2 linked regions of the Drosophila melanogaster genome follow. The protein of the gene in region 2 interacts with the protein of the main gene of each other region in a pairwise test. Each region holds a gene or a part of one and is shown on either strand. Other genes may lie near its edges.

The links.
Region 1: the proteins of CG32409 (region 2) and 4E-T interact in a two-hybrid assay, tested with the Drosophila melanogaster proteins (one large-scale study listed by BioGRID).

The regions. Positions count from the first base shown.
Region 1 is NC_004353.4:950,953-961,347, forward strand, and holds 4E-T (eIF4E-Transporter), read right to left. Parts: upstream 7,441-10,395; 5' UTR 7,080-7,440; coding exon 7,054-7,079; intron 6,938-7,053; coding exon 5,593-6,937; intron 4,099-5,592; coding exon 3,969-4,098; intron 3,912-3,968; coding exon 3,537-3,911; intron 3,275-3,536; coding exon 3,068-3,274; intron 2,948-3,067; coding exon 2,561-2,947; intron 1,510-2,560; coding exon 1,186-1,509; intron 1,126-1,185; coding exon 887-1,125; 3' UTR 590-886; downstream 1-589. UniProt on the Drosophila melanogaster protein: eIF4E1-binding protein that regulates translation and stability of mRNAs in processing bodies (P-bodies). Probably plays a role in P-bodies to coordinate the storage of translationally inactive mRNAs in the cytoplasm and prevent their degradation.
Region 2 is NT_037436.4:5,896,000-5,902,445, reverse strand, and holds CG32409 (uncharacterized protein), read right to left. Parts: upstream 2,919-6,446; 5' UTR 2,848-2,918; coding exon 2,699-2,847; intron 2,642-2,698; coding exon 2,389-2,641; intron 2,332-2,388; coding exon 1,838-2,331; intron 1,774-1,837; coding exon 1,620-1,773; 3' UTR 1,529-1,619; downstream 1-1,528. Other genes in the region: QC (glutaminyl cyclase), read left to right, coding at 25-111, 191-286, 345-650, 886-1,029, 1,086-1,293, 1,347-1,528; CG5592 (uncharacterized protein), read right to left, coding at 3,051-3,837, 3,895-4,087, 4,156-4,798; PolE2 (DNA polymerase epsilon subunit 2), read left to right, coding at 5,067-5,772, 5,830-6,446.

The DNA.
Region 1 (10,395 bases), on a different chromosome or scaffold from region 2:
TTTTCGACAAACAGCAGTGCTTTGCGTATCATTTTGTTTGAACAACCGACATTGCATTGAATAATTTTATTCAGCAAATACGTGGGTCAGTGCTATTTTTGTTACCGCCTCATTTCGGGCGCTTTTGCAGCAAGTGCCCAATAACAAAAAGAACCGTTCCATTGAGAGAGTACAAATTTCTTGCTCAGATAGCCAACATATTGTACTTATTATTCATGCAATCTGACTTTAAAAAAAATAAACATCAAAAACTAGTTTAGTTAATCATGTTCGGGGTTTTGACCTGCCAGCTATAAAAACACCAATTAGAAAATATATGCTTTAAAATAGTTACTTGTTTGTTGATTTTCCGACGGTAATGGATATATTGATTCGGCTGTTGATTCGATTCGACTGATCATAAATATAGATACGAATATGGGCCAATACTTTGCAAACCTAAACTAAAACTATATAAACTGTATATTTTTTCCTATGACAAATGTGCTTTAAACAAATTTTACACACTCCTTTTCATAACGTGCAACGTAATAGGTATAACTATAAAGTTAATTCCCAGCGCAAGACCCTATTTAACATACTGAGATTTAAGAAAAGTAAACATTTTTAAACTTATATAATTGCGTGTTATTTACAGTAAAATAGTTTTGTACAATATAATAATTACATTCTGTAAATACATTAAATAGTTTAAGTTAATGTATATTTATTTATAGAAAACTACTTTTATATGCTAAAAATTTTGTTTCCAGAATTATTTAATAGATTTGTGCCCATACAGACATACTCCTTAACATAAAGAAGAAATTAAATTTAGACAAAAAAATATTTGATTTCGGTGTCATTTTAAAATTTGCTGTATTGAACTTAAAACTATCTTCAAGAGTTAGTTATGCACGACGCCTGAGGAATGTTGAATGCTTCGTTCAAATTCTTCCAAACTGAGTGCTTGGTTCACATTTAAAAGTGGCAGTTTTCCAGCAGAGGCTTTTGCAAGAAGCTCAGGGGAAAACCATTGCGCCAATTGATTGGTTGGTGATGAAATCCTCTCATCTCTCTGGTAGCTAGGAGATGTGAGGCTGTTTGCTTTGATCACATTACCGGAATCGGAGCTGTCAGAAAAACCTTAAATAAAGACAACTAATTAGATGATTTATAAAACTAATTTTATTTGCAATATTCGACCTGGGACTGGCGGAGACATTTGTGGATTTGATTGACGGTGCATTTCTCCATAAATCACTCTTTGACTAAGCTGCTGTCGTGTGTGATGATGTTGTTGCTGATGTTGCATGTAAAGTTGGTGCCATCCAACAGGAGATGTAATGTTTTGGTGAACACTTTCGGTATTCAGATTTGATTCCACAGATTGAACTGCTTTAAATCTATGTTGCTGCTGCTGTAGATGTGGTTGATGAATGGGTTGCATTTCAATTTTATGGGCAGTAAAAGGAAGTGCAGAATTGGAATGCGGCATTGAATTAAGACCTCCTTTCAGAATAGGTCGGCCTAAAATATGTAAGTCAAAATAATAATGTGTAAGTCTTTGAACCCATTAATACAGAAGTCGAAGATCTCAAGTTTATTATATCGCGTTGTTTAACAAAGATATTTATTCCTAGAGAATAAAATATTGCTTTGGGTCACAGATAACTACATTAAAACAAAGTCCACTTCAAAAAATTCCACTAAATAATCGTAATTTTCATTACCCCAATAAGTCAAGAATAATCAAAATTGTAGGGTACACTTCTTGCACAGAATATAAATTAAGCAAACTGTGTATATGAATATTTATTTTTTGGTCTATTAAAAAATACTCTCTATATTATGTAAGTATATACGTGCACGCACGTCGTGTCTCAAAAAGCCAATTTAGCTATTCTACAGGTTGTATATTTACACCCGGTTCTCGTAGAGATATACTATATTCGTTTTAAAGAATGTAACAGGCAGAAAGAAGCGTTTCCGACCATATAAAGTATATATATTCTTGATCAGGATCAATAGCCGAGTCGATCTGGCCATCGAGATCTCAGGAGCTATAGAAGCTAGAGAGTTGAGAAGCTTGAGAGAGTCATGATGCTGCGGACACTCTAAGGCCCACAAACAGGCCAAAACTGCCACGCCCACAAAGCCACCAAAACTTTTGAAAATTTACTTGATTAAGAGACTAATAAATTGATGAAAAAGTCAACAAAAATCCTAAAAAACGTATGGCGTTACTCGTCATTCTAATGTCTTTGGCAAAACCAATATATGGCCGTTACGTATCTTGTTATTCTAATGTCTTTGCTTTTACGCTACGGGTAACGGGTATAAAAAGCATCCACTTTCTCCTATCCTATACTATCCTCTTTTAAGAACTGAATTTTGTATTTGCGTATTTGCACGCTTTTTATGGTAACTCAACGATTTTTATAATTTCTCTTGAAATTCATATACATTTACATTAAGTTTATGAGAACGAGTAAAAAAAACTTATAGCAAAAAAAAAAAAACAAAGCTTTAACTAATAAATGTACTTTAATAATAGCTAACACTTTTTTGTGTAACTTACCAAATGTTTTTCCGTGGACCATTTGCATATTGCCAGAAGTCCACTTTAACACTTGTTGATTACGACTTTGTGACATGTTGGGAGACAAATGTTGATTGTTTTGGCCAATGGCAAAGTTTCCACCGCCTAATATCATTCGGGGCTGTACAGCCATTGTTGCGGTCAGCTGTGGCTCAAGTACGTTCTCACGAGTACCGACTTGCTTGGCATTTTGTTGGTGTACATGATATTGTGGGTTCTGACAATAAGTGCTTGGTGATTGCGTATCCTTATCGGCTGTCATTTTTCTTAAAACTGAAGTAGGAGTAAATGCCAACGGAGTTGGAGAGTTACCGTGGGAAATTAGCTGATTAATCGTATGGTTAGCAGTATTTTGCGAATGCAATTCTAGAAAAAAATTAAGGAATTTTTACAAATAATTTTAGTAATAAATAAGATACTTTAACTGAATCAAATATTATATTAATTGAATTTTAAAGAGTTACCATATAACCAAGAATTACTTACCTTGAGAGTAGTGCTGATGGACTGATTGAGGCTGAAGAAACGATTGTTGGGTAAAAATATTGGGATCGCCTGTGACCACCGGATTTCTTTTAGAATGAGAATATTCATTCAACACTGTGGCAATGACATCCTTTGTGGCTGCTGGGGTGCTGGGATTATCCAATTCTTTTTCCAAAAAATCATGTGAAACGTCTCCACAATGAAGTCCTATTTATTATTAAACATTTTGTTTTTCATAATATTTAAATACAGCGCAGGGTATAAAAGCATTAAAATAAGAACACGTGGTTTTTACCAGATACGCTTTAAATAAGTTCCCGTTCTGATGGTAAACATGTATATGGTAAACTGTAACATTCATGTGTTTTATCAGCCAGAAACCTTATATTATTTTACCATAAGGACAAGAAAAAGGACTTAAGTATTCAAGAAAAAGTTTATAGACATGGAATTTTGAAACATATCTTACTTTGAATTAAATGTTGGATTTCCAAACGCTTTTGCAAAAATACATGACTACTAGTTGGCATGGTTGGCACGTTAACACTTAACTCTGGTTGCTGCAAATGACCATCATTTATTTTTTGATGTAATTTTGACTCAAGGTGTACATGATTTGCTATATTTGAGAGGTTTATTGTACGACAATCGTCGTTGCATGGATGATGCTGCCTGGCTTGAGAACCCAACTGTTGCAAAAGTTTTTTGAATGCCTCAGTGTCTCTAGCAATAGGTTTTTCCATTTGCACTGTCTGACATAATGACCCTGCTATTGGATTTATTAAATCAGTCCTCATATCCACTTTTATCATTTGAGCTTCCAGATCCTTAACACTTGGAATACCTTAAGAACAAAGTGAACTATAAGGCCTTTGATATATTATTACAAATCTTGACATACCACGTTTTTCTTGAGCATGCGATTCCCGAAACCCTGGAAACTCATTATTATTTGCAGCTTCTTTTTGTCGAAACCATCGGCTAAAACGGGATGTTCCTTTTGAGTCACTTTTTCCAGTTTCATCATTACTCTGCAAATGTACAATAAATATATCTTAAAATTAATAAGCTTACCTTTAAAATATAAATTCTAGGGTATTAGAGTTGCCGGGGCAAACTTTTTTTTTTGCAAATCCATAGAAATTTACTAGACTAATAAAAATATGAAAAAATATCAGAACATTTTTCAAAAATGTTGGCGTGGCAGTTCTGGGCGGTTTGTTTGTTTGTTTTTAACGCATAAAGTGATAGCAGACAACTGTATGTGTACACAGGCATGCTCATGCATTGTAAATTTCACAAAATATGCCCTTCACCTTAGAAGTTCTTTGACTTTAAATCTATATTATTTTTGATCAATTGGCACCATGCGAAAAATTCTTGTTTTGCATTGCCTTAACGTTATTATTATATGAAAATAGATTAGAAATAGCCAAATCTATGTACATATTATCACAAAAATAAATTTCAAAAATGACTTTATATAAGAATATTTGTCATTAGAGTATTCATCTTGCGGCGTGTGAAAAATTAATAAGGCAATGATTGTTGAGTGCTTGTGTCCGTACTTCGTGCTTCAAGATATGAACAAAGCAAAGACACTAGAATAATTCTAGTGTCTTTGATATGACTTTTGCAATAAACAGTTATCATATTTAATTATTTACTATATTTATTATGTCATTTGACTTAATATGATGTAACATTAACATTAAAAGTGTTTAAAAAAAAAAATATTTCGCTTTTAAAAAATTGTCAGATGAGAGACAAATTAGAATTAAACATAAATATAAATGTGTAAACGGTAGCTAATTCGAGCGGCGATTTTAACAAACAAATTTAAAAAGCTTTAAAATGATAATAGTCAGTTAAAAATTATTTTATTTTATCATATTGCTACGAAATTGACAAAAACTACCCTAATATGTACAATGTAAATTCGTTTCTTTGATCAGAATTGATTTCGGTCCGAAAATCGTCTTCTAGCACAACACGCACACATATATGCGTTCTCGTCTCTTGTTTTTACTCACACAAGCAAGCAAATTCTATTTTTAGATTTCTTATGCTCTCAGCGGGAGCGAGCGGAAAGAGAGCAATTTTGGCCGTCACTAAAAAATTGGCTGCATAGTGCAAAACCAATGTATGGCCGTTACGCATCTTGTTATTCTAGTGTCTTTGCTTGTGCTGCGTCTTCGTATCTATAATCTGTATGCTAAATTGCAACATACTAGTTTTTTTAGTTCCTGAGATCTCGACGTTCATACGGACAGACGGACATGGCCAGTTCGACTCGGCTATTGATCCTGATCAAGAATATATAGTTTACATACTTTTCAACGAATCTAGTATACCCTTTAACTCTTTACCCTTTACTTGAGTAACGGGAGTTAATATCATTATTTACAGCTTATTTGAATACTATTATTGATCCGTCAATAAAAGGTAACCCGGAAGTTGTCCATGTAATGTCTGAATGGATTAGGTACTCATTCCTTAAAATCTAGTTTTTGCAATATATTTACCAAAACGGAATTATCCAAGGGATGCATATTAAGAAAGGCATCAAAATTAAATTCACTTTCAGGATTCTGACTGGGCTGCATCTGAATTGGTTTGTTTTTATTGGGATGGCCGAGATCTGTTGAGTTTTGAATAGAAGTCACTACATTTTCGTCAGTGTGCTTCTTTTCATCACTTGGAATGACTTCGCGGAAATTTAAACTATCATTGCTGTTTCTCATCGAAGCTTCATCTTTGCTTGCTTGCGCGTCTAAATTTTTATCAAGTTGTTGAATTTGATTATTTTTATCTTCAGTTACGGATCGCTCTTCGTTTTTTTCCAGGTCTTCAAACCCGTGTAGATCAATAGTTTCTAGCTGTGATTTAGGTCCTGCACTGAACCATTCAGGTTCTTCGTGAATGAGATAGGAATTGCCACGCTTGCTTCGGCTTTGAGTACTGAAAGGCTCCTTACCAGAAATGCGTCGATTATTAATTCCCTGACGATCAAAAGACTTTTTGGAGTCATATTGAAAACGACGATCTGTGACTTCGGGAACACGTTCAACTAACCTTCCACTGAATGTTCGAGAACGATGTTGGCTTTGATTGTGCTGATTAAGACTGCTTGTACTTCCAGATCCATTTGGAGATGTTTCCTTTTCATTCTCAATGCTGGCTTCTACGGTCTTTTCGTTTTTGTAATCCCAATTATCACTTCTTGGCAACAGCCGACCGCTACCAATCCGCCTTTCTTGGCGGGATGTTGAAAATGTAGGTGAAGATGACATGCATTGGTCGTGATCCGGCTGAACAAAATTCAAACATGTCTCAGCAGTATCCAACTCGCTACCCTTACGGCTAGGCGAACTGGCTGCCTTGCCCTTGCTTGCACAAGTGTTTATCCCCTCGTTGCTTTCCTCGCTGTTGCTGCCTTTCGATATGACAAAACGCCTCTTTGCAAATGCCGGCATTAAATGTGAAGATGATATGCTACGGTGATCGATGATATTCAACTTATAGGGCTGTCCATGAGAAAGCGCATCCTTATCTTTATCCTCCCCACTTATTAGAAGAGAATCGGTAGGTACGAAGCGCTGGTAATAGTTGTTTGCCCGTTCTCGATTTCTCATAGCGCGACGTGAACTTATTGAGCTACTATTGGAACAAATTAAGCTCGAGTTATCTGCTTCTGGAGAAAGTCGATTCTTGTTTTGATTAGAATAGGCGCTGGACACGGTTAACGCAGCTGTGTTCAGATTAATTTTCCAAAAACCTAGCGTCTGCAATTCAAGTCGTGTTGAACATTGCGGGCGCTGTCGACTTTTACCTTCATATCTTAGAGCTAACAGGTCTACTTTCGAGTACCTAATGTGAAACAGATTGTTAAAACAATGTTAGTACATATACAAGTTTAAAAAAACAGTACGCGAGAATAATATCGAAAAAGTTGACTAAAATTTACCAATATTTAATCCACATACCTGGCACTAATCTTTGATGTATCCATTGCTAAGGACTATAGTTCACTGTGTAATCTAACTTATTACAGAAAGTCGAAAAAGTTAAGATATCCAAAATTATTAAAAACAGAACACTCTCCTATATGAACGGGAGAAATTGTACAATGAATATACAAATAGTACACACCACTTATGCAAACACACACTTTGAAAAATTAATATATATATATATATATACGTATTTTAAGGCCATATATATGACTGTTGAGTTTCATGAGAATATAATCCCAAGACGCTTACATACATATATAACAATTTTTAATGCTCACAATGTTGCGATTAGCTTTGTGAATATCACGCTAAATTGGAGTGGGATATAGACATTGAAAATATTTTGTTCTTATTGAACCTTAAGGCATTATATATATTAATATTGAAACATTAAAAGAGAAACACCGTGAAACAATGGAATTTTGAAGTTGTGACATTTGTGGGAAAAGAAATTCTAGGTTTTTCCTACTGGTGCTAAAGCGATACCAGACTAAGCATATCTGTCCGTTCGTATGAGCGTCGAGTAAAGGTGCCGAATGTTTTCTAAAATGATTAATATTATTATTTACACTTGAAAAACAAAAAATAAATTTTATTTATGTAACGTCGATGTTTTATAAAATAGTTTATATGATTATTTACATTTGAAATACTCATAATATATAATATAAATAAGAATATTTTTATATTATTAAACTATTAAATTTTAAATTTAATATAAAACAAATCAAGAAATTATAATCAGGCATGCATTACCGAATAATCGTAATTTGTTTCCGAATTCGATTTGATTTCGTAAAATTTTTTGCTGTCGGAGTGTTTTCTGTACAGTAAACAGCTGTTTAAGCTGTTTTCCAGCGGACACCTTTTTCACAATTTTAATTCCGATGTTCGCATTTAATTTTTTACTGCATTTTGACCGTTTAATTAATTAAATTAAATAGCATTACTTACGAACACTATAGGCCATCTTTTAAATTAAGATAATTAATTCTTTTATATTTTATAAGTAAGTTTAGTCGACGCACGCATGACCCCATGCCAAATCGAAAATTTTTTTTGCCGACGGCAAAATTTTGTATGTCAAATTTTTAATGGGGTCAGAAATAAATTGTATATAAAATAAATAATGAATATAAATAATTAATATAAATCAATAGACCACTGAGTAAACTATTTTTTCCCTTGGTAAATAATATCTTACGTGATATAAAAATGGGCATATACTTTTCATTTCGGCCAGACAAAAGTGTCCGTTTTACAAATCGAAAAATCCTTACGAATTTGAAAACCGGAGCACCGATCTTGCGTTTTAAAATGCCAAATCGAAAATTTTTGTTGCCGACAGCAAAATTTTGTATATCAAATTTTTGATGGGGTCAGAAATAAATTGTATATAAAATAACTAATGAATATAAATCAATAGACTACTGAACTATTTTTTCCCTTGGTTAAGATCTAACGTGATATAAAAATGGGCATATACTTTTCATTTCGGCCAGACAAAAGTGCCCGTTATACACATCGAAAATCCTTACGAATTTGAAAACCGGAGCACCAATCTTTAAAATCGAAATCGTAAAGTACTTCGATTAACGGAGCGTGCCCGATAGATTGATTTTGAAATTTTTTGTAGGTGTACACAGTTATACAAGGAAGTGCACGCCTAACGCTAAAATATGCTGCCGGCGGTCTGATGAAACATGCACGGAATAAGTGTTCGGTCGACTTCGGGAATGATCTTCGTGCACAATGTCTAGAAAATGACATCATGTTCCACACAATGTCATGGTCTATCAAAATCTATAGAGGTTTAGAGTTAAATACATAGCTATTTTTATAGTCATAGTCCCCTTTTTTTGAGAATATACGATAGTTTTGGTTATGGTCTAAGAGTGCGTCACCCAATTTCTATATGCCGTCCTGCATTGACCTAACGGTCTCTACCCACCCATTAATGAAGATAATGACGGCGGTATCGTAAGGATGGCAAAATAGGGATGGTATGGCACAGTACGAAGAAATGTGGTACAAATAAAGCCATATGTCGAGTTATTAAAAATCAAAGTTTTTCATATTTTTCGTATGGTGAGAATTTGTCGTCACATACCATGTCCAAGGGAGTAATAATTTGAAATAAATTGTTAAAGATTATCATACCAAAGACATTAGAATAACAGGATGCGTAACGTCTTACGATTTTTTGGCACACGGTTTTTTCGCCGTGGCTCCAGGCCCCCTCGAATTTTTGTTCGAGAGCGAGAGAGCGGAGAGCGCTACAGCGCACAGCTCTTTTCTACGCATACAGTGATAGCAGACAACTGTGTGTGTGCACACGTATCCATGCATTGTAAATTTGACAATATATGTACATATGTATGCCCTTCACCTTAGAAGTTCATAGACATTAAATCTATATTATTTTTGATCAATTGGCACCGTGCGAAAAATTCTTGTTTTGCATTGCCTTAACGTTATTATTATTTAAATATAGCTTAGAAATAGTAAAAGCCGAATCATAATGTCACAAAATAAATTTTAAAAATGACTGAATGAAATGAAATGAATGATTCAGCTTGCGACTTGTGAAAAATTAATAAGACATTGTTGAGTGCTTTCGTCTGCACTTCGTGCCTCAAGATATACTTCCAATAAACAGTTTTCATATTTTTGTTTATGTTATAAATTTGTATTTTCTACTACGTATTATTTTTATGGAATATTTATTTCTCAATATAATGTCTTCTATTTGGGAAATTTATGTTTTAAATTACAGTAGTTATACTTCCTTGGTATTTTCCTTAATTATTTAGTATATTTATTAAGTCATTTGACTTAATATGATGTATGTAAATGATCAATTTTTATTATTTAACATGCACATTAGATTCAGTTGTTCGATTTCAGTTTTTTTTTGTTATATTCCAATTTGATATTTTTAAAAAGCGCGCAATTTTGTCATATTGCTACGAAATCGGACAAAACTCCTCAAATATGTAAATTCGTTTCTTCAATCAGAATTGATTTCGGCCCGAAAATCGTTTTCTATCACAACACGCACACATATACGCGTTCTGGTCTCTTGCTTTTACTTACACAAGCAAGCAAATTCTATTTTTAGATTTCTTACACTCTCATTGTAAGCGAGCGGACAGACAGCAATTTTGGCCGTCACCAAAAAAGTGGCTGCATAGTGCCAAACCAATGTATGGCCGTTACGCATCTTGTTATTCTAGTGTCTTTTGTCAAACCAATGTATGGCCGTTACGCATTTTGTTATTCTAGTGTCTTTGATCATACCACCTGGCCATC
Region 2 (6,446 bases):
GTCGCCGAGCTCTGAAGCGTATAGATGGCGATCGGTTCCGTAGTTTTTGCCGCCGCAGGCTTGCTGCTCCTCCTCCTCCCGCCGTCGCATCAGCAAGCGACAGCGGGAAACGTAAGTACCCCAAGCATTGTGACTCACTTGGGAAACCAGGCATTGTTAGGTTAACCAGAGAGACCCATCTATATTCCAGATTGGATCCCAGTGGCGCGACGATGAGGTCCATTTCAACCGCACCCTGGACTCCATTTTGGTGCCACGCGTCGTTGGCAGTCGGGGACATCAGCAGGTGGGTGATAAAGCTTCAAGTGTATTACTTGGCGTTATAATATTAACATTTCAAACAGGTGCGCGAGTACCTGGTCCAATCGCTGAACGGCCTTGGCTTCCAAACGGAAGTGGATGAGTTCAAGCAGAGAGTTCCAGTTTTCGGCGAACTCACGTTTGCCAACGTAGTGGGCACAATCAATCCCCAGGCTCAGAACTTTCTCGCTCTGGCCTGCCACTACGACAGCAAGTACTTCCCCAATGATCCCGGCTTTGTGGGCGCCACTGACTCCGCCGTGCCCTGTGCCATTCTGTTGAACACCGCCAAGACCTTGGGCGCGTATCTGCAGAAAGAGTTTCGCAATCGCAGCGATGTGGGACTTATGGTAAGTTGCTTACTTAGTGCCCATTAACACAGACCTTGGTGGCTAAATAAATTTTCCATGAACTCCAGTTATACCAAACCTGAGCGAAAACAAGTTGCATGTTTGGTATTCAAATCTCCATTTGAAATTAGGCATACGACATTAGTATTACATTGAAAAAGTTGATTTATGTTAATAAGATCTAGTAGAGAATTTTTCCTATAGTTATTGAAAATCCAACCTTCTTATCCACCAGCTCATATTCTTCGATGGCGAGGAGGCCTTTAAGGAGTGGACCGATGCGGACTCTGTATACGGATCAAAGCATCTGGCCGCGAAGTTGGCTAGCAAACGCAGTGGTTCCCAGGCGCAACTAGCTCCACGCAATATAGATCGAATTGTAAGTCAATGACCTTTGCGAGAATTATCAGCTTGCTAAGATTGTATCAATAACAGGAAGTTCTGGTGCTGCTGGATCTAATTGGGGCGCGGAATCCCAAGTTCTCCAGTTTTTATGAAAACACCGACGGACTGCACTCCAGTCTCGTGCAGATTGAGAAATCTCTGCGCACTGCCGGCCAGCTGGAGGGCAATAACAATATGTTTTTAAGTCGTGTCAGCGGTGGTCTAGTCGACGATGATCATCGACCGTTTTTAGATGAGAGTAAGTTTGATGTCTTTAGTGTGTATCCATAATCACAGACGTTTTCCATACAGATGTTCCTGTGCTGCATTTGGTAGCCACTCCTTTCCCAGACGTCTGGCACACGCCTCGGGACAATGCCGCCAATCTGCACTGGCCTTCCATACGCAATTTCAACCGTGTTTTCCGTAATTTCGTTTATCAATACCTTAAGCGGCACACGTCACCAGTGAATTTGCGTTTTTACCGAACATAGTTTATGTTTTGTCTTATGGCTAAGATTTATTAAGCATAAGTGTAAAGTGTTTTTCGTTAATTAAAGTGTCCTAAGGCATGTGTAATTCTTCCTAGCGACGTTTGCGACCGGCTTGCGCCTTCTTGCCCGGAGCCCTTTGACCACGATTGCCCTTGGACTTCTTGCCCACCGCCTTGCGACTGCCCTTGCCCTTGGGCTTCTTGCCGCCCTTCTTGCCTGGTTCATTCTCAGCCTCTGCTTCGCGTCTGTTGAGGAAATAAAGGTTTAAGCTTTAGACTATGCTCATTTAACGATAAAGGTTAAACTTACGCCAAGCGATTGTCGCGCTTCTCCATCGATACCGCCTTGCTCACGTCCAGTTTGGGCTTCTTGTTCAGCACGCTCTTGATGAGATCCAGGTTGGCCTCCTTCTCCGGCGTTTGTGTGATATGCGACTGCTTGCGTTTGCCGCCGGGAATCAGCTCTTTAATGCCCAGACCACGTGCCTCCTTCTCCTTGGGCAGTTTGTTTTGGAATTTGCCGACTGAGGCTGTGGAGGATTTGGCCACAGTGACGGCCGTTAACAACTGGCTGGATGAGGCAGCCTCGGGTCCCAAGTAACCGCTGCGTGGCATGTCGATCTTCTTGGCGCGCACAATGTTCTTCATCCGCTGGATCTCATTCTTGGCCACCTTCTCGTTGCGCAGGTCGATCTTCTTCTGGAACATGTCCGTATTGGGATCGGCGTTCTGTGGCACCTCCAGCACCCAATCCTTGGCCTTCTCGGCCTCGGCACGCTTAAAACCATATGTAGGCACCCATTTCTATAAAGATTCAAGGTTTAGATTGTGACTTGACAAGATTAAAGAGCAAAAACTTGCATCCATGGTCTCATCGTAGGTCTTCTTGTCCTTCTTCTTCTTGCTGATACCCTTCTCCTTGGCGAACTTCTCCCATTTGGTGAGCGGACGTGGACCTGGCGGCTTACGGAGGCGGGGCAGTACCGTCGTGGGTTCCGGCAGCTTGGCCACAATGCTCTCGTCTACCCGTTCGGTGGGCAACTCCCAAATGGCATTGACCAAAAGTTGGGTGTTCTCCCGTGTCAGTGCGGTCAGGTACTCCTCTTTGTTGTCCCTAAAAACAATGGAACTGGTGAAAAATCAGTATTCCTCGCTAGAAACCGCCGCTTACCTCAATTCCCGGTCATCGAAATCGTTGGGATCTGTGATCAGCAGGCTGCCAACGTCGAGTCGGCATTCCAAATGCTTTTCTACTGTGATCGGCTTGTATTTGTCCAATTCCTTTTGGTGTTTGGCCAGAACTTCTTTAACAACATCCATTTTCAGGGAATTAGCGTATAAACAGCAAAATTCAATTCCACGTGCTGACAACTGTGACCATGCACTAGATTTAACGAATAGGCTAAAAAATACTAAATAAATGTACCAAACTCGCACCGAAGACTCAAACCTTGCAGGGAAACTTGGCTATATACTTATCAGTCTATCGGCGCCATTTCAAAATAAGTTTTTAAATTAATTTTTTAAAGATCCTCGTTTATTTTACGATCTCTACAACGTAACGTCCAGCGCTTTTCCGCCTCGTCCAACGTTTGTGGCATCGTAGCTCCCTTGGTCTCCGGCAGAAACAAGATTATTAAAGCGCCTATCACGGACACCAATGTGATAATAAACATGGGCAAGGGACGATAGTAGCGGTGGGTGCTGAGTACAAGTGGTGAGAGTAGGGCACCCATCTGACCCATAATATTGATAATAGCCAGTCCCTGACCGCGCAGCACGGTTGGCAGTATCTCAGAGGCCCACTGTTGACCCACATTGTAGGCCATTGTGGCGAAAAATCTGGCTGCAATCGCTGCCGTTGATGCATTCCAATGTCCTTTTAGAATACCAACGAAGAGACTGGATGCTGCACACAATAGCATGACAGCCGACATCATGGGCTTGCGACCAATTCGATCTAGCAAAAGCATTGGTACGATTCCAGCAGGAATTTCAACGAGCGAGGAAAGGGAAAAGGTTATAAATATATCTGTGTCCAGGATTTCGACTACGCGAACATGGGCATCGTATGCTAGGGCCACAGTCATCCATGTGACAATCAAAATCGTTAAGACGACGAGCCTGGGAAATGTCTTAAAGAGATCCAGACTGGTGTACTGCTTTCCCAATTGCTCGTTGGCAAATTTAAGTTCATAGCATTCCCGCATCTCGGACCAAACCTCTTCGGAAATGATTTTTCCATTGGCTTTGGCCGCTTCTTTCATGACTTCAATACACCGGTCCACTTTACCCACCGACATAAGCCAACTGCAGTGGGAAATGAAGTTTAGATAGCTTGAAAACCTATTGTTATCATTAATTTACCTTGGTGACTCTGGAGCCAGCAAGCTGGTCAATATCATGAATACAATTGGCAGGGCAACGACCATGGCATAGTGCCTCCAATTACTGATGACATAGGCCAGCCAGGGAAGCAAGCAGGCGCCCAAGGTGAAGAAGAATGTGAGGGCTAAGTTCCCCACCAGTGTGCGATACTTGATGCCAACGTTCTCCAAAGCTGTTGAAAAGAATGTGATGATGATATTTAAATTTATGATTTATGTTAATTGACTCTGCAACACTCACTTAGAATATAAATGGGAACGAAGCAGTAGTTCATTGACAGTCCAGCCACAAATCGGCTGGCAGCAAAGCAGGGAAAGTCCTTGCAGACCACACTTACGCAACCGCCGATCATGGAACAGGAGTTGGCCAGAAATAGTGCAGGCAAGCGACCGGAATGATCGGTTATGAATCCAAAGCAGAGGCAACCAACAATACAGCCCACAAAGTAGACAACGACGCTATATGTCCCGAAATCCCTTTTGTCGCACACCCAATTGTACTCGGTAGCGATGGACTCGTAGGGCACCTCCTTGCGATCATAGATCCAACCATTGTTGCAAGGTATCGGGCTCCTTGTCTGATTCGCATCGTTGGTCGCATTTGAGTCGTAGGGCACATTGTACATAAAACAATTCTCGAAACTGCCATCTTGCTTTTTGGGGATTCCCCGATTCTTTTGTTCACTTTCCGGCAGTCCCTCTAGTTCTCGTACTCTGCACCAGTGATTCTTTGGCAACAGTATCATAAATATCTGACCAAAGTAGGTGAATGCGAACAGAAAGGCGGCGGGCATCATCCAAAACAGCAGTCGCTTCTGAAAGGGGCCAAAGTCCCCAATGAACAGCAAGAAGTTCTCATACTTTTCACAATCTCTGGGGGGCATTTCGACATTTAATATTATAAATATGTACTAAACAAAAGCCAACTTCTTTAAAGCCCTCTTTTTGAACCTTAAATAGTTAAATATATGTTATTTTGAATAAACCATTCAAATATCAACTTTTTGAACTCCACTTTTTTCCGCCAATTTTCGATTACTTTCTAGGCCTTCTATTTTAGCTTCATGTTCGGCTGGTCACACAAATGCACATAGATATCGATAATTGACAACATCCATATCTAATTTGCGCGCGAAAAAACTTTTAATAACAATGGATGTGGATTTACTGCCGCTGAGAAAGCGAATAACAAACACCTTCAAGCTATGTGGATTCCTGATCCGCTCGGAGAACAGTTCCTACCTGGCGGAGCAGCTGCTACCCTTTGACGCAGCGGAACGGGACAAATGGCTGACGGTGATCACCGAGAATCTCCAAAGCCAAAAGCTTTTGACGCCTCATGTGGAGCGAGCCGCCCTGGAGAAGGCCATCAATGAACTTAACCGGGTGGGATTGGATGAAGGGGAGACGGTCTTTGCCCTGATCGATGCCTTTACGGTGCCCCGTTTTCGGTACAACCAGCGGATAAAGAAATTCGAACTGGACACTCAGCCGCGCCAGTTGCTGACCGCCCCGCGCATGAAATCGGACTACATGCAGCAACGATATGCCATGTTACTACAGAAAACTCTGCGACACGATCTCTTTGCCCCAGCCGTCATACAGGATGGCGTTGGGGCCGAGGCCCAGGCCAAGAAATTTAAGCTCCAGTTCGCGGAGAACCTGCTGGCCACGTCGGCGATGAAGGAGGCAGTTGTTTTGGGGCTACTTACCCAGCTTAAAGAGGGCAAGTTCTATGTCGAGGATCCCACGGGTTGCGTCCAGTTAGATCTCACTGGAGCCCGTTTCCATGCCGGCTTCTTCTGCGAGGGCTGCTTTGTTTTAGCCGAGGGCAACTATAACAACGGTGTGCTCAAGGGTAAGTAGCCCAAAGTATTTAATAACTACATCTCAAGAGTTTCTTATGTTTCCCCAGTTGATGGCCTGGGCTTTCCACCTGCGGAACCGGCAAACAGCAGTCGAGCATTTTTCGGCACCGCCAACACTTGGGGCGGTGAATCTGCTAAGCTGCTGAAGTACTCAGCCGGACTACAGGAACTGGAGCGTACCAACACGGAAACAACCATTGTTTTCCTTTCCGACGTTCGGTTGGATCTGCCGGTTGTCATGGAGAAGCTGCGCCAGTTGTTCGTGGGCTATGATTCCTGTCCGCCGCAGGCTATAGTGCTCATGGGTCCCTTCACGGCCAGCACAAGGAATCATCATGAACTGAGGCATCACCTGGATGCATTGGGTGGCTTGGCAGCTGGCTGCGAGCAGCTGAAGAAGCAAACGGATCTGATACTCGTTCCCTCGTCCGAAGATCCCACGGCACCTAATATTCTGCCCCGTGCTCCAATTCCCGAATGCCTGGCAGCCGGGCTGCTAAAGGCCTGGCCACGCACCCAGTTGGCTACGAATCCGTGTCGCCTGCAGTACTGCACCCAGCAGATTGTGGTCTGCCGTCTGGATTTGATGGCCAAGTTTTGTCGCAACACCTTGCATTTTCCTGAAGACACGTCCCAGATCGAGCAGCATTTTGCCAGAACGATT